4 linked regions of the Caenorhabditis elegans genome follow. The protein of the gene in region 3 interacts with the protein of the main gene of each other region in a pairwise test. Each region holds a gene or a part of one and is shown on either strand. Other genes may lie near its edges. The genes, in order: appg-1, pqn-74, pqn-71 and daf-4.

Region 1 (4,755 bases), on a different chromosome or scaffold from region 3:
TTAAGATTTATGACGGGACACTTTAGGGTTACTGTAGTAGTACGGTATGAATGCTGTAGCAGTACTGTTGCAAAATTTATCTTGAATGCTACTGGTGCTACTGTAACATTGTGGCTGGGTACGGTAGGGGTACGGTAACAGTGTAAACAGTTGTACTACTGTGTAAAAAGACACATTTTCCCAACAAATGCCAATTTAAAGTATGTCAAGTCATAGAAATTCTAACTTAAAGTTGAGTTGGTTGATGATTAATTAACAAATAGAACATCAATTTATACTGTTACCGTGACCCTCCCTGTTGGGTATCAACGTGTATTGACCCACGACGTGGCTAAGAAGATCGTGCAACGTGAACTCTATGAACTAACTTATTTATTCCTTAGTTTAGTAATGTAATAAACTACTCGTCTTCTCTCCTCGTCTCGCCTTCGAATACACAACACTCCCGTACTGTAATCCGTACTGTAATGTAGAGTAATCCAAACGAACAATAGTTTTCAAATAGATAAAAATTTTAGGAACTTCTTGTACAGAGAAATCAAAAAGAGTTGAATTTTGCTTTTCAATTTTGAAGTAATTTCCAAAATGTGAGGTTACCATTTTATTTTTTATCTAGTTCCATTTGCTCAAAGGAGACCGTTAATTTTCCCTCCAACCAAATACGGAAATCGCTGATTTTATTATTACGTAGTGCAACAAAACTCTTGAAAAGGTGACAATTGATAAGTGGGCCCCCTTATCACCTTTCCTTATCCCACACACACACATACACACACACATTTCCTTGGCGATATCATTCTCGAATATCGGATATCCGATTTCCCGGTTGGTCATTCATCTATTGACTCTTTTAAGACGACGCCCCCGGTAATCAAACATTAGGACTTGGTGGGGCGAACTATTGCGTGTGTGTGGGTCTGAGGCGGTTTCGGCAATATACCTGGAGATTTTGTGGATTTTCAGATAAAAAAGTTTACGGGAGGTAAGATACATAATCAAGATTTGGCAGCATGAAAAAATGTTCAGTTCAAATTTTTTCAAAGTTTGGAAATTCTTTAGCCTTCCCGGTGAACTCGGGATTTTGGATCAACTTTCTGCAAACAATTAGGCAATTTCTAAAGATATGATCGAATAAGTTGCTGGAGGTAAGTTCCTGGAAAAGATTCTCATCAGGAAAATGTCAGAAAATTGCAAAAAGCTTGACAGAAAGTTACGCTATTTCGAGGAAGCTGCGGGGTTTTTACTGAATTTTAATTGAGAATGTACCAGAGCCAAGAGACTATGTGTGAACAATAAATATTTGGATCCAATAAAAATTGAAGCATAAGCTATAGTTAAAAAAAACTAATTTTTTATTGATGTCTAGTAATTTTAGTAATCCAAAAATGGAAGGATCTTCCGGTTTTCGAATTACGGTTTCTCGCAACAATATCGGTTTCAAAACAGATGTTTCCTGTTTCCGCTTTTTCCATTTTTGTGCATCCCTTTGTTAATTCACCATCCCATGAAGAAGAAGAAGAAGAAACATTCTAAATTTTCAAATGTTTTCTCCTTCTCACCCAATTTCCATTTCACCAGACATTTTGTGTGTATGACGGGGTCATGATGTTAAAGAATTGGGAGAAAAACCGAATCTTTTTCTCTCTCTGGCGAATGGGTGTTTACTTTCTGTTTTCATTGTGTTCACCTTTGCCTGACAATAGAAACAAACTCTCGCGCAACACAGAGACCTTGGAGCCAGTGGAAATGGACGAGACGCCGACTAAATTGAAATAGAAACCTTCGTTTGACTGTCTTGGAATGAGCAGGCTTTTTGGGAAGAAAACTCGATTTGGAATAAAAAGAAGAGGAATCGGGTCAAAGAATCGGGGCGGAGTTTTGTCAAAATTCTTTAGACTTTGGCCCATGTGAATCAAAATGTTTCGAAATAAAGTTGGGTTAATGCATGATTTAATGGTGAGTTTGTCTAGAGCAATATTTAGTAGCATTTTTACCAGACACTCAATGTAGGCATTAAACTCGACTTGAAAGTGACCTACTACATTCATACCATGCTTTTTGCAGTCGACTACAAAAATACTGTAGGCGCACAGGTAGGCATCAATGTCACAGAGCCGGTATACTAACATGACTCGTTTTTCCAAGATTGTCTCCTTGTAGTTTTGAAATAATGGATTATGGTAAAACTGAACCGTCAAAACCAAATTGGAACCATTCTCAAATTGAATTTTTTTACAAGTTTTTTATTTTTCCTACAATTAGAATAAAATTGCTCCCAAAAGGTCAAAACAATTTTAATTTATTTTTTGATTAATCTGTTAGAGAGAAAGTCTGCAATTGTTAGAATTCACTAGCTGCAAAATTAAAAAAAAATGTTGCGTCATCAAATTCTAGTTTCAAACCCATCAATTGTTCCCACAACATAAAATATTGTAGGGATAGACTAATTGAAGTTTTGTAATCTTCAAAAATGTACTTTCAATAGAATTATTTTTTCGAAAAAATAGAAATCCATAGAAAATGATTTTCAGAAATTGCAGAGAACTAATTTTTTCTAATACTGATAAAAACGGTATTTTCACAAAATTTAAAACTTGCAACAAAGACTCTTAAAGAAACACAATCTAGTTTACAAATTATGTTACAGACATTGAAGGCTTGTTACCTAATGTTCGATACAGTTAATACCAAAGTTCACACCCAAAATAAAGATTTACCAAACCAAAGTAAGCTAATAAGAGATGGTTCGTATAAAATAAGTTATAAAACTCTTTAATTTTGTGAGAAGACAAATATCTGACTAATTAACAGTGGTTGACCGCAAAAGTTTCAAAAGGATTTTAATTAGTCCAGTTTACCGAGCAGGTCAAGTTACGAGCAAACAATTCAAAAGCAAATAAAGTCAAAGTAACTACCAACAAAAAACCAAAAATAAACTCACCGCAGCAGTAGAAAGTGCCAAAAGAAGGCAGAATAAGAATAGTAGCCGAAGAGAATTCGAGCGTCCCATCGGGAAGATTTTATGATTGATTCCTAATTCTCAGATCCAGGAGGGATTGGATTACTGTATATGAATTTAAGTGATGAACAATATGAATAAGAGTACGGATACAAGATTATTAACAGACAGAAATGGTATATAATAAGTCTTCACACACACACACACAAATCCTTCAAAATCTATTTCTCACTCTGCTTCTCTCTTACTGCTTGAAGAGCTCTCCGGAGGGGGCGATAGGAGGGCGGTAAAAGCTTCGCGGAATGCGCGCTCAGAGGCGGAGCATTTCCGCGCGGCAAAAAGGACAGCCTGACGCGTTGGTGCTCCTGCTGGACGAGAGAGCCCCCATGGCTTCCCAAGGCAATTTTTGAATCCTGTTTGTTTGTATTTCGCCATGTACAAATTGTCAATGTATGTTCGTTGTTGGCCGCTTGAATCGACTGGAGAGCTACCCGAACTTTTTGCGGGGAAGGAAATCGGCACTAATTTGGAGAGTTCGGAAAGGACGGAAGGGGGTCATCCTCTTGTCTGTTCCACCGATGTTTGTTTTTTAGAATGGGGGCATGCTTGAGAAGAAAGGACATTGTGTGATTAAGCTGGTGATTAGGATGATTATTGATGAGCATACATTGATGATTGTAGTGGCAGGAAAAAGCAAAGGGGTGAACCAAATTGGGATTGTTTCGATGAAGATAGTGACGGAGGTTTCAATTTGATACAAATTTAAACGGAAATTATAAGTTTTTTCGTTGTCGTTGAACTAGAAATGCTGAGATATTGTGTTCTGTACTAATTTAGAACTTACAGAATATAAGTACTGATTTAAAAATACAGACTAGTAAAGTAGTTTAAATATTCCATTTTGGTTGGAATAGGAGGCCGTTTATAAATGTATCTTTTTGTTTATTTTGCCAGTTTTATTGATTTGCTAAGATTTGAAGGAGTACCGAAAATTGGGACAATGCCCTATTAGACTTGAAGGTATCAAATGGCCTGAAATTCGCAATGAGACGTCTTGAAATTTTCCAATAACTTTTTTATGGCGGTTCACATTATTGAGGGAACATGCATATTTTCAGCTATCATTCCAAGTTTCCCAACTGTCTAGACTCTTCACGGAAAAACGTGCAATTGATTTTGCATTCAATCACCATATTTCAAATGTCTCGGCAACTTTTTTATTCAACTGAAATAAATAAAGATGTTTGAACAAACGGAGTCCTGATAGTGAGCTCAATAGAATTTTAGCTCTAACATATTTGGACCAACTTAATTTCAAGTGATAAATGTAATAATTTTCTTGTATGGGAACTTTCGAAATGATACATGTCAATTTGTATTCTGATTGTATTTTCTTTACACAATTAATTATTGTATCAAAGTACAAAAATATATATTGGGATTTTGGATGTTTTAAATTGGGATGGCCGACTTGGCGTTCATAAAAATAATGGCTTGTTGAATTCAATACGTTTTATTCGCTACATACATTGACTAACTCGTCAAATTGCAAATTACCATAAAATCTTAAATTACTCCCAAAAACATTAGAATACTGATGGTACATAAATAAATACAAAATAATCGAATCAATAAATAAATAATTGATTATTCACTGACGATGAGCAAAATCTTCAGTTCGTTGATTTTTCGTTTCTTTCATGCGACGACGCATTTTCGATTGGCATACTGGGTAACAAGTCGTTTGGCAAGCTGCCATACAGTTCGGATTGTTAGGAAGACATTGGTGCTCACAT
Region 2 (4,243 bases), on a different chromosome or scaffold from region 3:
TGTTTTTTTTTCAATTATTTTACCAAAATAAGCTTGTTGTCATTTAAAAATAAGTACCTTTGAAATTAGGTGTTTTCATGAAACAAGGTACACTAAGAAAATTATCTCCACAAAGTTTTTTACATTTTGCAATTTGCACTTCCTATAATTGCTTAAGTACTCCACTAAAAAACCAATAACAATTTAAATGTTTATTAAATGTATTTCGAAATTTGAGATTCATATGAAATACAAACAAATTGCAAAAAGTAGAAAACTGCGAAAATTATTTTCTTATTAAACTTTGTTTTATGAAAACACCAAGCGTTTAGATACTTGGAAATTCTAATAAAAAAACCGACCCGCCTGATGTCAGCTGCTGTAGCTTTTTTTCTGGAACAGAGTTGTATAATTTTGAAAAATCCAAAGTGTAGAAAAAGTTTTCGTCAATACTTTGTTAGTTGAAAACATTTTTCCAATAAGCAAAGTATTTGAGTTTAAAATATTTGAACAAACCATTAAAATCACTGCAAATCCGGGGTATCAGACAAAAACCAGAAAAGTATTGAAAATATATATTTATTGAAGTACCATCATAAGTTATATAATAGTTATCATTGGAGAGAAAACCCTAGACATTGGACAATTCGGAATACAAATAAGGATTGGGGATTTGGGGGAAGACGGGGGAAAAGTGAGGGCAAACTAGGCGGTACAATTATGGTTGTCTATGCGTATCCGTTTCATGATTGTTGTTTTCTTCACGGTATATACAAAAAGGCGAGAAGATTGTAGCAGTTTTTGGTTCGATGATGATGTGTGTGAGATGTTCGATCGATTAGAAACGACGGGCCTTCTTGCGGAAGTAGCAGCAAACCATGCACTGAAAGAGTGTTCGTTTGCTTATGATCTATTCGAGCCTCCCTCCCCATTCTTACACACCCCCGTCCCTATTGTAATCGTCTCAATTGCCACACACAAGAACGGAAACCGGTTGAATTGGTTGCCGATCTCTTGCTTCTAGACACTACTCTCTTACCTGTTGTCCGGCATTTTGTCCGACTTGGCAGACCGATTGTCCTGGGCACTGGTAGTTTTGGTTGCATGATCCGATTTGAACTCCTCCGGTGCATCCGCATTGAGCGTTCTGTGGAGCCTGGGTGGAGACGTATGGGGCTGGAGTTGGAAGAGTTCCTGGCTGGCTGTTGGTGTCCCAGACGCAGACTTGGGATTGGACGTCGAAGACGGTTCCTGGGGCACATGGCATACGTTGCCATCTTCCGCAGAACAAGTTGTTTGGAGCTGGCTGGCATTGAAGGTAGTGAGTGCGGGATTGTGGGTCAGTGGCAAGTGGGTCGATCATCCATGAGCAGATTCCTTGGTATTGAGCGTTTTGAACTCCGGATCCTTGGACTGAAATAGAAAGGTTTAGATTGTAGATTCTAGAACCATAAGATCTTACCGAGTGGGCATGGCTGTGGCTGGACAACTGGAGCAGATTGTTGTGGGCAGTATTGTTGCTGGGTGGTTGTGGTTTGGCAGTTCTGTTGAATTTGGGTTGGGGTGCACTGGCATGGTTGCATCTGAACTGGAGCCTGGGTGGTGGTCTCTTGTTGTTGGCAGCAGGAGATGGAGACAAGGATCTGCTCATTCTGCTGATTGTTGGTAGAGCATGTGCAGGCTGGTTGGTTCTGTGGGCATGGGCATGATGGGTATTGGGAGAATCTCAATGGCTGTTGCTGGGCAGATCTGCGGACCTTCTTGACAGCAGAGATTGGCTCGAGGATTTCCGGCGATGGGCAGACACAGTTTTGCTCTCCATTTGGACAGGCGCACTGTCTTGGAGCCTCACGGGTCTCCTCAACGAGGAATTGCATGGCCGAGGCAGTTGGGCAGAAGTTGTACTCGGTGGCATTGGCAGACTCGCAAAGTTCCTATAAACAAGAAGATAAACAAAAGGTTGAAGAGTGAAAGGTAAAGGATTACTTGTTGTTTGTTGACAGAACGGACAGTCTTACAACGGCGAGCGGAGGCAACAAACTCGTATCCTGGGAGGCATTCACGAAGAAGCCAGATTCCGAGATCTTTTCTGGAAATGTGAGAAGGCGGATGAAGGTAAAAAGGTATTCAGTATCAAAATGGCTTACCTATCGGCAGCAAATGAGGATTGACGAACACATTCAACATAACGGGTTGGATCACCAGTGGCTCTAGGGAACGATGGCAATTGGCAGATATCACCAAGAATGGCTCTCCAGTATTGTGGAGTTTCCTCACCACTCTTGGATTCGCAAGATGCGAGAGCTATAAGAAAATGGAAAAGGTTATCAAGGAAGAATGAAACAAAATGTTAAAATTGTTAAAAAATCAGAAAAAAGTGATAAACCTGCGAGAGTAGCGCATCCGATAATGAGGAGGAAGCGCGCCATGTGTGTATGAGTGAGAAGAAGCTAGTGTGATGCTCAATCGGCAAACTCGTCGCGCTTTTATACGATTTGGCTCTGGAGCACACCTGGGGAGGGCTCCCGCGCCCTCTCCGAAGTAGGCGGTTCTCTCAGCCCGCCCTAATCCGGAACTCATCAGTGGAATGGCATGCGGAGAGAGGAGCGCACGCGCACCCGTCGACCCACTTCTCACCGCGAATACTTGTAAATAGATTAACAAGATTACAATAGGAATTGATACCCCCTCTCTTCTCTCTTGCTTTCTATGTTCATATTTTTTGAAAATCAAAAACTGTGTTTGTCAGAGTAAACAAACAAAACCCGTGTGTCCGTGCAAATTGGCAACTTACTACAGACAGTAGTGTACTCGAGCATGCTTTCGCAGAAACCGTTTAAGTAGTTGGTTCTCTTACACTACTACAAGTCTCTTTTTTGGCTTTGCGGCGTCAAGCAAGGCCGAAGGTTATGGGAAAAGAAGCTTCTAGACGCTAGATATTTCATCTTTTGGTTCTTGTTGACTCAAGTTTATTTGTGTCGTTCTACTTGAGCTTTTCTCTCTGATTTGCATCATTTTTGATAGCTGGAAACAAAAGGTTACGGTACAAAATCACTTCACAATTCATAAAAATTATTTGGGAATTTAAATGAAATATTGCAAAAATTTTTGAATCGTCTAAAATTGCCAATTTTCGCTCGTAAAAATGGATAATTGTTGTTTCTGATGATTATAAAAGCGATTTTAAAATGTTTAAAAAATCTACAGTACGCTTAATTTTTACAGGATCTACTCTCAAAGCGAACTTAATATTTTCAAATTGAGGTCGCGCAAAAAGTATCTGCGCCGTTAAGAAGTACAGAAGTACAGTAAGAAGTACTGCCCATTTTTTCTTCAAAATATTATTCTGTAGAAAAACGTTTTTGAAAAATCCCCCAAAAAAAAGAGCGGGTTACTGTAGCGCACGCTCATATAGAAAAAAATTTTGTTCGTCTCGGAAACCCATGGAGACGTAACGCTATTCTTTCAGATTTTTTTTGATTTTTTTCAGGAAAAAAATCTTGAAATATTTTTTGCAAAACTGAAATTTTCCGGCAATTGAAAAAAATGCGTAAAAACTCGATTTTTCGATGTTCAGACCTAGTCAGTGCACATTGAGAACTTTTCGGATGTTCGTTTACATTGTGCTCAAATTAGGCGAACTTTGTGAAAATCTGGCACACGTTTCAATAGCGAACCTGGATTGATGTCCGCTGCTTATTTAACTTGTATATCAATTGTATTCAAAACTTCAAACATGTTCGCTGTATGACATGCATGTGCTCTACAATTAGAGCCTGTTCTCTCAAGTTTCTTTCGTGCCCCCAAAGTTCCAGACACGGATCGGTTTCCCGTAATCTCTGGTCTCCGAAGAACACCCCCCCCCCCCCGTCGCCTAGTTCTCAGTGTGTATCCGATGTACGTATAATATGCACTTCATATATCCACCCCTCCTGTCTAACAATTAGTGAAGAATTGAAAAAAAGGTTGGTGAGGGGAGGAAGGAGGGAGGGCGCGAGCTCGTTGACGCCGCGTCTCGTCCGCATGTGCTTCTCCTGCGCATCATCTTATTCCAGTTTGCCCTTCCAATCGTCCGTTGGGAGCAATAAGAAGCATCAGTTGAGCAAGTGAGGAGGGGGGAGGCGAACAATGTGTGTTGAGTGACTCTATTCGTTGGTTTTTCAACAGTCTAACGGGTCCGTTTGTGTATGGGGGTATGTATGTTGCTTGTTGCTCCTGTTGGATTGTGAGAAGAGAACAACGAAAATGATATCTTGGAGAGAGA
Region 3 (3,628 bases):
ATCGAAAATTTCCTACCTAAAAATATACATTTCAAAATTCAAAAAAATTACTAATAAACTTTCCCCTTCTTTTCATTGAAAAGTGCGAAAAAAGTTGGACATCTATTTATATATATGTAGCGATATGCATTTGAAGGGGTAACTTTTTGTCTCTTTTTCTCAATGCACTTTTCACCTCTTCTTGCTCTCACTCAACTACTACGTAGTAGCAGAACAAACAACAGGGACCAAGTGGGTCGAGTTTTCGATTTTTCCTTGATTCTGAAAACAAAAATTCGAAAAATACTAATCAATTATAAATTTTAAAACATTTTCGGTCATCTTCTATAAAATCTTATCAACATAATTTCAATACAACAATAGTTTTCTTAATATTTCTAATTGTTTTTCCGGGTCTCGAAATGATTATTCCTGAAAAACAGAGCTCGAAACTACAGTACTCTTTAAAGGTACATCCACCTTTTTTCCATTCAACAAAAAATGTTGTGTGAATACCAGGTACCAAATTTATTAGCTTCAGCACTTTTGAAAGGACCCATTTAACAAAAAAACTGGTAGTGAGAAACATTTATTCATCATTTCCTAGATTTACAGAAATACAATCTTCAAGAATTTTACTTCTTCAAACAACACTGCCCGGAGACATTTCCGCACGGCGAATAGTTTTGTTGACATCCGCACTGACTATTTTGCATTGGTTGACATGCCATTTGGGCCGGCTGATTACAGGATTGATTGCAGGATGTCGAGCAAGCTGGAGCACACTGTTGGGAGGCCGTGGTTCTAGTTTGGCACTGCTGTTGGCATTGTTGCTGGCACTGGGGAACACATTGGGAGGTCTGTGGGGAGGCTTGCACGTAGATGGTTATGGTTTGAGTGTTGCTGTTCTGGCAGGAGTTCTGACACTGCTGGCAGTTGGTGGAAGTTTGTTGAGAGCATTGTGGAGCACATTGTTGTTGGCATTGAGTTTGTTGGTAAGGGTTGTAGTAGTTTTGGTTTTGGTACTGGTTCTGGTTGTACTGATTTTGGATCTGGTTTGGATTTTGGTACTGATTTTGGTTCTGGTACTGATTTCCTTGCTGATTGTACCCTCCATACTGCATTTGATTATACGGATCCTGATTATTGTACATCATATTTCCTGTGGACCCACATTCCTGCTGGCACTGCTGCTGACAAATTGGCTGGCACTGTTGCGCGGTCTGCTGTTGAGTACACTGCTGCATGCATCGGTTCTCACACTCTGGAAGACAACTTTGCGACGCTGGAATTGGTGTGGAAGTCATCGGATTGCAAGACGATGTCTGGCAGGATTGCTGACACGTTGGCTGGCATTGAGTGTTGGTGTTAGATTGGCACTGTTGACTGCAGGACTGTTGACAAGCAGGCATGCATTGAGACGTCTGCAATTGATATTGCTGGCTGCTGGCGCAAGAGCATGGAGTTGAAGGTTGGCAGGAGCAGCTGTATTGTTGTGAGGCCTGCTGGCAGGAGCAGGTCGGCTGAACCGATTGAGCACATCCGCAGGAGGCTTGACGGGTTTCGCGGATTGAGGAGGCCTGAAATCAAATTGAGTTGAGAAACACGTCGTTAATTGGAATGCTTCTATCAATTTTAAACGTCACTACGAGATTTTTATCGGCCCACATTAAAACAGGGTCGGTCTACTTCCATATACGGGAATACAGATATTACTCTAAAAAAGGAGATTTTTCAGTTAATGATGTCGAAAATTGAAATTCGAAGAGGTTCAAAAACAGTCGTTAAAGCGCCAATTCACATTTCAAGTAGTTTTGTTAACACGAAATTGCGAAAAGAAAATACAATTATTAGGCTTTCTCTCAGCACTTAGAAATTATAAATTTTCAAATTCCTTACAATTAGTTTAAAATTGAAAAACTAACCTGAGCCACAGCCAAAGCAACTGCAAACAATATAATCACACAACGCATCGCTCAATGGGATTCTGTGAGTATACCCCGTGTAATTCTTGCCACTTTTATACTTTTTCATGTTGTTTACCAACCTACACTTTTGTTTCTAGTTAGACACGTTTTTTTTTCTTGAAAATCCTAATCAAAAGTTTACAATGTTTGCATTTTTCATTGACCCGATAAATCAACTTATCTTTTGTTTGTTTGTTGAGCATGATGGAGGAAAACTGGTTCTTAATCAGAGTTATTCATGTTTGTTCAGTTATTTTTGAAATAAATATATAAGTTTGAAGTAAAACAGAATTAAATTCTCAATTTATTATTCATTCCCCATAATCGTTTATTTGCATTACACTCTCCTCTGGCCAGCGCTATCTCTGTTCCTCTCAATTGTGTATACCTCCGTGAAGCATGTCTCTCGTGGCCGAATGGTCTAGTGGTATGATTCTCGCTTTGGGTGCGAGAGGTCCCGGGTTCAATCCCCGGTTCGGCCCATTCCTTTTGAAAAAAATTGAGAAAGAAACAATTTTTCAACAATGAAAAAAAAAACAAAAAAATCAAGCCACCTAGGGGACTCGAACCCCTGACCTTAAGATTAAAAGTCTCACGCTCTACCAACTGAGCTAAGGAGGCCACGGCGGCGGTGTTAGAATTGGTCTTTAGAAAACGGAATCGGGAGAGAATCGAGAGGCGCGCCTGGTGGTCAACTAGTACATCTAGTTGGCATGGAAAATTTTAATGTTTTCAAACATAAATATGTATTAATTGAACAAATATTTGTGAAAAATTTTGCATAAAAAATTGCTGTATAAGGTGTTACAACGGCTTTAAAGTTTAGTTTTCAATTATTTTTAATTGAAAATTTGACGCAAAAATGTTTAATTTCATCTTTCTAGTGTAAAGTTTATATTCAGTAATTTTTTTTCTCGATAACATAACTGAACTGTGTTGTTTCAAATAAAATATCTTCTATTCAGCAGATTTTCAAAACCGAAAAAAAATCCAGAATTTCAACACATCGATGACCAATTTAGTCTCATTTCCTGCCGTCACTTTCCCTCATTCCCGATTTTCTCAGTTTTCATTTCTGTTTCCCCTCCTTAAAAAGCGTCTATTCAAAAGGGATTTCCGTCGATCATAACCAGACGATATCGCTTAAATCGATCTAATAATGTTGGAATGTCCATTCTCCCCCCTCACCCGTTTCCTCACTTCTTTGCCTCCCTGTTGTTCTTGTTTTCTCCCGTATTGTTTTCCTAAATCTCGGACAAAAACTAGAGGCCTAAAACGTGGGCCTGATGAGGCCCTTACTCTCATGTTTCCCCGTGATTTTCGCGGTTTTTGGGCCGATTATTGCGGTTAAGCCCGTATGGAAGACGCCCGTCTCTGAGCCGAATCCAAATGCGAATCTCGAAGTTTTAAAGGGACACTCGAATTTGGCGAAGGTGAGTTTTTTTTTCAGAAATTGTTTTTGTAAATTCTGGTTTCTCTCGTGAAATAGTAGCATTCGTAAAACTTTAATTGAAAAATAAAACGCTCCAGCTGAGGCTCGTGTGTTGAACTAAACATTTTTGGTATATTGAATTTTAAAACAGGGGGACTAACTATAAGATTTAAAGGGATACCGAGAAATCCAGTTTTTTTTAATTTTAAAAGTATTTTAATTCAAACAACTTGGAACAGCTGCTCATGCC
Region 4 (7,610 bases), on a different chromosome or scaffold from region 3:
TCACCATTTTCAAGGATCACAGGAATCGGCGGAGGTGGTGGACACGAATCAAAAAACGGATTCGGACTAGGATGTTGTCTCTTGCTGGGTGACGACGCATGATAATGTTGCATTTCTTCGATACCCTCCGGCTTCTCACTTTGTTCAACATCATCAACACCCCGATTCTTCATACTACTTCCACTGTGATACCCCTCCGAACTGTCCGGTGAGCTCATAATATGATTCCATACCCTCGCGAACGCACATCCAGCTGTAATCCGTGCACACGCTTCGGGATCCCACATCTCTTCCGTAACCTTTTTTAGCAGACTCATATATTCATGTTTAATAATCTCATCTCTCCATTGTGGTCGTTCCTTCTTGCTCACCACATAATTTCTCATGAGACCAATTGTGGGATCAAATCCGATGACTTGAAACGGCATTTGGTAGTTTGGTGGCTCGTCGGTTTGGTGCAACTTGGTACGGGATATGACTTCCCACATGACGAGTCCCATCGAATAAACGTCCATCGCTTTGAAAGCAGTTGGCGTGAATTCGGTTGCTCCTTCGAGCATCTCTGGTGACATGTAGCGTTTCGTTCCCACTTGACCCAGCAAATCGCTTTGCTCAATGTCATAGCTGTAGATTCGGGCGAGGCCAAAGTCCGCGATGCATGTGGTCATGTCGCTTTTCACAAGAATGTTCTTCGACTTGATATCTCTGCAAAAAATTGGTTATTGAATTGAATAAGTACAGACATTAGAAACAGTTTGGAGCATACACTAACCAGCGTCGTGCGTCGTTGAAACTCGCTACCTGCTCTTAAAAGGTAACGTAGTGTTACTGGGAGCATTGGTTAGAATCTCTCCGATAGTAAACCGAATATCATAATAACACTTTGTACACAATTTTCCCGCGAAATTTATATTCTGATTATGTTCTAATTAACTCTAGATACTTTAGGTGTTCCAATGTACAAAATTGTTTGAATTTTTATTTTTTTTCTAAACCCTAACTTTTCGAAACTTCAACTGAAAATTGTCATGCGCCTAAAAATTGGTTTTTTTTTTTCAATATTTTACCCTATCATTTTGGACTCTATCGTGTGTATTTCAAAAAATATTTACTGGAAATTGCAGCCGACAACTTGTAGGTCCACGCTACTATTAATTGATCCTGAAAATGTCGGCTGCTCAAGCGCAACTTAGCAACTTCTTCCGATTTTTTCTAGGACCAACCTAGAGTAAAGTTCTGAGCATTAAAACTAGTTGGAGGGCGATCACAAGTCAGATCCATTAAAAATTTTCTAATTATTTTCATTTTCCACTAACCTGTGAATAATTGGCTTCTTTGGGTGTCCAAAGAAGTACGGCCTGTCGTCATGCAAGAATTGAAGCCCATCGATCATTGACATAATAATTCGATTGGCAGATGTAATACTAATTACATTATTCTTGAGTAACTCATAGAGACTAAGTCGCTCATGAAATTCGGTCACAATCCAATACTCATCACCAATTTTCTCGGCGCACACAAATTCGACGATACTTTTATACCACTTCGGGTACTCGTTAAGCTCATCAAAGATTCTTTTCTCCGCCAAAAAGCTCGCTTTTTGGAATTCGTTCAATTTCTTCACCGCAACCAATCGTTTCTCACCACTGTCTGGGGTGTATTGCGCCTTGAAAACTTTTCCAAAACGTCCCTTTGAGATTAACTGCAATAAACGAACAAATGTCATTGAGTGTAAGTGTGACGTCAATCAGCTCATGAAAAGAGCCTTCTGTTGTTTTCAACATTTTTTCTCAAAGATAAAGAAAAAGTAAGGAAAAGCTCAGAGTTCACAAAGTAGTGGACATCAAAAGTTTACACCGTGAGGTCGAACTTCCGAGCAAAATATCAAAAAGACGAACTATTATGAAGACGCGAAATATGTGAATTTTGAAATCAAAGTGCAAATGCGCTCCAATGCCAAATGAAAACGTTCCCCGACACTGTTAAAAAACCATAAATTCAAATGTTTTCAGAATTGTTCGTTGTTTTTAAGTTATGTTAACAATTGTTTTTGATAATTTTTAAAAAATTCATGTAAAGCTGAAAAGTTTCACCAATATGGTTTTTTTTTCAAAATTCAAATGTTGTATTCTAGATTTAGAGAGCATGTTTCAATATAAAATATCAAGCACGACTCTTGCGGTACCTACATACCTGAAAATCAGTGATCGGCAGCTCCTTTGGTGTCTCCACCATTTCAATCATTTCCTCTTCCGGCTCCACGAGAGGCACATTTCCAGCTTCCAGTGCGTCAGTTTTTTCCTGAAAATTTCGAAAATTGATTCGATTTCAAAAAAGACAAAACTCGCCATGTCAAATTTAATTTTCTGCTGCTTTTTTATCTCCTCCTTCTTATTCTGCTGAAATTTCCAACCAACGTATGCCAAGATCAAGAGTGCAATACAAAGGATCACTGACAGTGCGATTATGATGATCCAGTAGAATGGGAACTTGTCTGCAAATTCGCTCCATTGAGAAACTGACAAGAGTGGGGGATGTGTGGTAGAGGGTGTTTAGCACCTAGTTAGTACCCAGCTAGCCCCGAGACGTAGATGCAGACAGTACCTAGAGATTCCAAATCCATGTTGGATGGAGTTGAAGCCCACAGAAGTGCAGAATTATCCGAATCTGAAATTTTATCGGCTCTAAATAGGTGATTTCAAAATGTGTACATGTTTTTATTTGTATGTGTGTGTGTGTGTACAGGCATCTTCCACGGGTGCAAATTATTACGAAAAAGCGTTTGTTTCACTTTGCAACGACACTCCGCTCACTGGAGGGGAGGAGCCAAATAACAGCAGAGTGTCGTTGCGAATCGCCTCTAGAAACAGAAAGAACAAAAGAAAGTTGAAATAAAAAAGTGGTTTACTTGCAAAGCCACAAGAACAAACATAAAATTGCATGAATGGTGTGTGTGTGTATGTGTGAGGGGTAAGAGAAAATTAGGAGACAATCTGGAGAGGTCCACGTGCATTTTTTTCGGAGAAAATTAGGAAAGGGAAGAGAAATTGGGAACAAGGTTTATGACAACTGCAGGCTTTTACAGAGGTGGATTCTTTCAGGTTGAGGGTACACGGGGAAAGGTTGGGAGGAGTATAGCTAAAGTAATGGGAAGTTCTCCATATTTTTCTTAATTTCCGATTGACTTCCACCGGAAATTTGTTCAGCTTTGGCGCAAAATATTGTCTCAGGGCTAGCTGAACTATCTTTCAATGTTTGCCAAGCTCTCTCGAGCTTTCTTCTCAACCTCTGCTCGGTTATCCTTCTCTCTCATTGTCTCAACTTCAAATTTTATCATAAACGCGTCATAAGGTTGTCGCAGTTTGGACGAACGTTTGCTGAGATCCGTAGAGACCATTCAAAATTTTCTAATGGGGTTATTCAAGTAATGTAGCAAAATGCATTTAAATACATTTGTGACGTCACAAATGTATTTAAATACATGTTTTTATCTACTTGAATAAGGTTGTGACGTAATTTTTCTACACTTTTTAATTTTCCGACACTACTTGAATAACCCCATAACCTCTCTCCAACTTTTTTTTTCAACGCTCATAAATTAGTTGAAGATTCGTCGCAGCTTCCGTCTTCCATCTGGCCCGCTCCTCAACTCCTACTCTCGTCTTTCACTTGTCGAAAGCTTGACTCAGATTGATCACACTTCGCGTCACTTTCCCTATTACTGTGGCCGAGCTCAAACCAAACATCGCCAAACTCTCTCGAACTTTCGCCTGAACGCTTCTACATTAGGACATATTGCAATTTGGTGCTTCTCATTTGCTCGCAACGTTTGCCAACTTCCGTCCACTATCTCCCTACACTCGTCGTTAGTTTGCCACATTTTTGTCTAACTTCCTGGGAATTTTCTCGAATGTGCTCCAACTCTGTCGTATTTTAGTTGATGGGAGGCAACCTCCGTATGATGAACCGTATTTCGAAAAAATAACTAGGCACAGACACGCGTGGTTGTTCAACTTTCGTGAAAATTCTGCTAACTTAAAGCTAAATGTTTCACAGAAAACCTCTCATTTCAATGCCAACAATTTCTCCCTAGCCTCTAGCCCCAACGCTCACCCGAAAGAAGGTTATTTAAACAGAAAGTGGGACAGAAAGAAGGTAAAAAAGGTAAAAAGAAGGAGGTGATATATATGTATATTCACAAAAACAGAATCATTGCGTGTTGCTCTAGTATACTAAGAATGGGGTTAAACATGGGATATAGTGCTCTCTTAATATAATGTGCTCACTGACCCTTCTTCAATGACGGGTTGACCATCTCGATGAGATCCGGCATGTTGCAATTGTTGGTCGAACAGCAGCACATTCCAATTCCGCCGCGAAATGATCGTCCTTGGCGACACTGAAATTCCAGTTTTATGAGGTGCTCCGAATGCTGAAATATAACTTACGGAGCTTTCGTTCTCGCAGTTCATCGAGTCCGCGTGCTGATACGGCATACATCCCAGACTTTTGTATTGCGGTTTATCAACTTTCAGGTATGGTTCTGTAGAGTTTATCTGGAAATTTTAAGATTTTTGATGTTTATAATATGGATGCATATATCTATTATTATCCCCTTTACTCAATTAATCATCTTTTGAAACATGGGCAGCTAAATCCGGATTAGTTGGTTTGCACATTTTTAATGGATTCGATCAAAATTGGATTGATAAACTCAACAACTTTTAAGTTTGGTTTGAAGAGCTTTGTAGCAAAGGAATAATAAAGCCTTGATCATTAACTTTTTCCGCAGTATTTTTTTCAATTTGAATCAAGTTCCACGTTTAAATCCTATGTCGCTCAGTAAATTTTCAAAGTCGTCTTCAAAAAGGCCAAAACCTTGCTCATATGTATTTGTTTTCGATAAAACTAATGCAATTCTGATTTTAATTTTGATATTCAAATTCCATCCTACAAAACTATCAAAAATCACGAGTCATGTCACCCCAATTTGTTCCAGCTGACAAAGTCATAAGCCAGAATGGAAAAAAAAATGCAAAAGATACAAATACTTCCGCGGATGAAGAGGAAGAAGATGTCACTCATGAATAACAAATGAAACAATATATATAAAGGGCCCCCGTCATGTGACACAGTTCGGTCTGGGGGTGGCCGCCAAAAACCTCTTCCACACTAACCTCTTGCGTGGGCAGCCCAAATACGGCCAAGCATCCGACGGCTTTCAGATGAGCTTCACTGTAACACGTCTTCTTTGTGATTTCACAATCGCCACTCTTTTCGCATTCCATCTCGTCGTAGTACTGCAAAATTTTAAAGTTTAACGTTTTTACTACTGCTTTAATTTTGGGGAAGAGAGCCTATAATTATGGAATAGTGATAACACTTGAAAAACAAAAGGAGTTGTAGTTATTGTAGCTTGCGGGTTTGAACTTATCCCTTTTAGAATATCTTGGTACTTTAAAGTAACTATAGTTAATTGAAACAAGGATCAGTGGAATGTGGGTGGATTGGCTCTGCGACCTCTACAAGGGGAACAGGGCTCACTGGAATTAAAGTGTATTTGATCCAGTAATTTTTAAACAAACGGGAGAGTCACTGATTTCTGATCCCCAAAACGTCAACACTATCTAATGAGCCTAAATTCCATCAAATTGATCCAAAAACTTACTACACATTCAATCGAAATCACTTCATCCTCCTCATTGTCCATTCTCCTTAACGTGGGCTTCGCTGGTGCCGAGACCTTAATAGTGCCAGTTCCATTTGACTGTGCTACTTTGCTGACTAGGGTGTTAGCCCACTGAAAGATGGTTAAACCAAGGAGATAGAATAAAATAAAGAAGTTTACGACAAAAACACATTTTCTCAAAAAATGCTCACCTCTTTCTCGGCGGCTTCCGATTCGATTCGGTCCTGACGATCGTCTTCCGTGACTGCAACAGGAACCGGTGTGGCAATTAAAAAGAGTGGAAGGCAAATGAGCACAAGTGCCTTGAGACGTACTGTCCCTTTCTGATTCATCTGAAAATTGAAGGTAGTTGAATTATTGTAACGTTTTTTTTAAAGTTGAGGAGTAAAATAAATAAATAATTAAGATCAAATGTTTTATTGAGAAAAATAGATGCAAACTTATTTAAATAAAAAAAATAGGTCAACAAATTCAACTTGAGAAAAAATAAATAAAATTTCAAAAATTCGAAAATTCGAAAATTTCGATAAAATTAAATAAAATTGCCAGCTTTGCTAAAATTTCCAGCTAAAATTTTAAAAATTTAGTTTTGATGAAAATTAAATTTCTTAATTTCAAATAAAAGCAATCGAAATTTCGGATAAAAAAATTTCGAATTTCGACATTCGAAATTTCCAATTTTTTTAACAAAAAACTTTTCATTTTTTTAAAATAAAATGTTTGAATTTTACTTCGATGCACCATGAGAGTTCAAAACTTTCAACTAAAAAATGTCAACCAAATTTTTCAAAAATTCCGTAAAAATAGGAATAAATTGCACAATCTCCATCAAACGAAAGATGTGAAAAGTGTTAAGGAAGCACAAAAAGTTTGCAAAAAAAATGAAGTGAGAAGCACACATCAGAAATGAAGAGAGAAAAGAGAAAAAGAACGAGGAAACAGCAAAGATTGGTACACTCTTATCACTTTTACAAACTCTACTCTCTACTTTTTGTTTCAAATAAAAAAAGGTTTTCATTCAATGTTCTCTAATAAACAACAACAAAAAATCAAATGACGTGACAATCTGACCTACAAGAACCTTACAAGAGGGGCTCGCTGTCCTCTTGTGCTCTTTTTCTCATCGGAGGGGGCTAAAGTTGGGCGGGGCCCAAACAGAATGAAGGCGGGATCTTCCGGGGTCTATAGAACGGGAACTTTGAGAAAAATATAGTATCGATGAACACCTGCACCTTATAGGAAATGGGCGAAGTTCGGACTAACTGGACTTTCCATATTTCGGTTCCCAAAATACACTAGCAATTCGAGGAAAAATTAAATAATGTGCTATACACATGTAATGTAACCAAAAAAAGTTTCTCAGGATTATATTTCGTGCGTGGTACCAGGAAAACGTATGTTTTTTTCAGCAGAACGGAATTGGAGTAGGCGTGGGCTCGGCTAAAAGTCTAAAATGAGATTTAGGCTTGGGCTTAGGCTTAGGTGTTCGTCCAAGTTTGGGCTAGATGTCGGGCGCTAAGTTTCAATAAGTTTTCTGTAAAACGTACGAAAATAGAAAGTACCACTCAACGTCATCCTTTCCTTCTTCTTATTCAAAAACATGTCACCATTCGTTATTTCAGGTGAATTTATACTTTTCCTCCTGCCTCAAGCCTCCCCGTCACATTGAATCAAGCGACTTAAGTGGGAGAAGAGAATGTCAAAACGAATATTTTTTGAACATTTTTCATATATTTTTTGTGTTTACCTTGACAACAACAAAGCACTCGCTTTTTTCTGGGTATTATTCACTCGTTCTATTTTTGCAGCAAAAGCCGAAAAAGAAAAGGGGGAAAAAGAGCGTGAAACTCGGCGAAATTCACATGTGACCACGGTGGGTTTGTTGTTGTTGCAGAAGAAGGAGGAGAGGGTAGCAGCAGGC

The links.
Region 1: the proteins of pqn-71 (region 3) and appg-1 interact in a two-hybrid assay, tested with the Caenorhabditis elegans proteins (one study listed by BioGRID).
Region 2: the proteins of pqn-71 (region 3) and pqn-74 interact in a two-hybrid assay, tested with the Caenorhabditis elegans proteins (one study listed by BioGRID).
Region 4: the proteins of pqn-71 (region 3) and daf-4 interact in a two-hybrid assay, tested with the Caenorhabditis elegans proteins (one study listed by BioGRID).

The regions. Positions count from the first base shown.
Region 1 is NC_003280.10:10,324,549-10,329,303, reverse strand, and holds the start of appg-1 (Activated in Blocked Unfolded protein response), read right to left. Parts: upstream 3,011-4,755; coding exon 2,942-3,010; intron 1-2,941. Other genes in the region: idpp-4 (Intrinsically Disordered Protein, expressed in Pharynx), read right to left, coding at 4,611-4,755.
Region 2 is NC_003282.8:13,328,966-13,333,208, forward strand, and holds pqn-74 (Chitin-binding type-2 domain-containing protein), read right to left. Parts: upstream 2,442-4,243; 5' UTR 2,409-2,441; coding exon 2,366-2,408; intron 2,286-2,365; exon of another isoform or gene 2,284-2,285; coding exon 2,127-2,283; intron 2,069-2,126; coding exon 1,966-2,068; intron 1,914-1,965; coding exon 1,442-1,913; intron 1,393-1,441; coding exon 1,019-1,392; intron 863-1,018; coding exon 818-862; 3' UTR 542-817; downstream 1-541.
Region 3 is NC_003283.11:15,464,025-15,467,652, reverse strand, and holds pqn-71 (Prion-like-(Q/N-rich)-domain-bearing protein), read right to left. Parts: upstream 1,977-3,628; 5' UTR 1,953-1,976; coding exon 1,905-1,952; intron 1,560-1,904; coding exon 615-1,559; 3' UTR 553-614; downstream 1-552. Other genes in the region: rocf-1 (ZP domain-containing protein), read left to right, coding at 3,233-3,379.
Region 4 is NC_003281.10:5,623,553-5,631,162, reverse strand, and holds the start of daf-4 (Cell surface receptor daf-4), read right to left. Parts: upstream 6,022-7,610; coding exon 5,881-6,021; intron 5,801-5,880; coding exon 5,669-5,800; intron 5,301-5,668; coding exon 5,178-5,300; intron 4,557-5,177; coding exon 4,449-4,556; intron 4,400-4,448; coding exon 4,291-4,399; intron 4,220-4,290; exon of another isoform or gene 2,957-4,219; intron 2,668-2,956; coding exon 2,605-2,667; intron 2,495-2,604; coding exon 2,349-2,494; intron 2,302-2,348; coding exon 2,194-2,301; intron 1,703-2,193; coding exon 1,317-1,702; coding exon of another isoform or gene 1,292-1,316; exon of another isoform or gene 1,065-1,291; intron 706-1,064; coding exon 5-705; intron 1-4. UniProt on the Caenorhabditis elegans protein: Involved in a TGF-beta pathway. May be a receptor for TGF-beta-like ligand daf-7. Controls the decision of whether or not larvae enter a developmentally arrested state, known as dauer, in response to environmental conditions.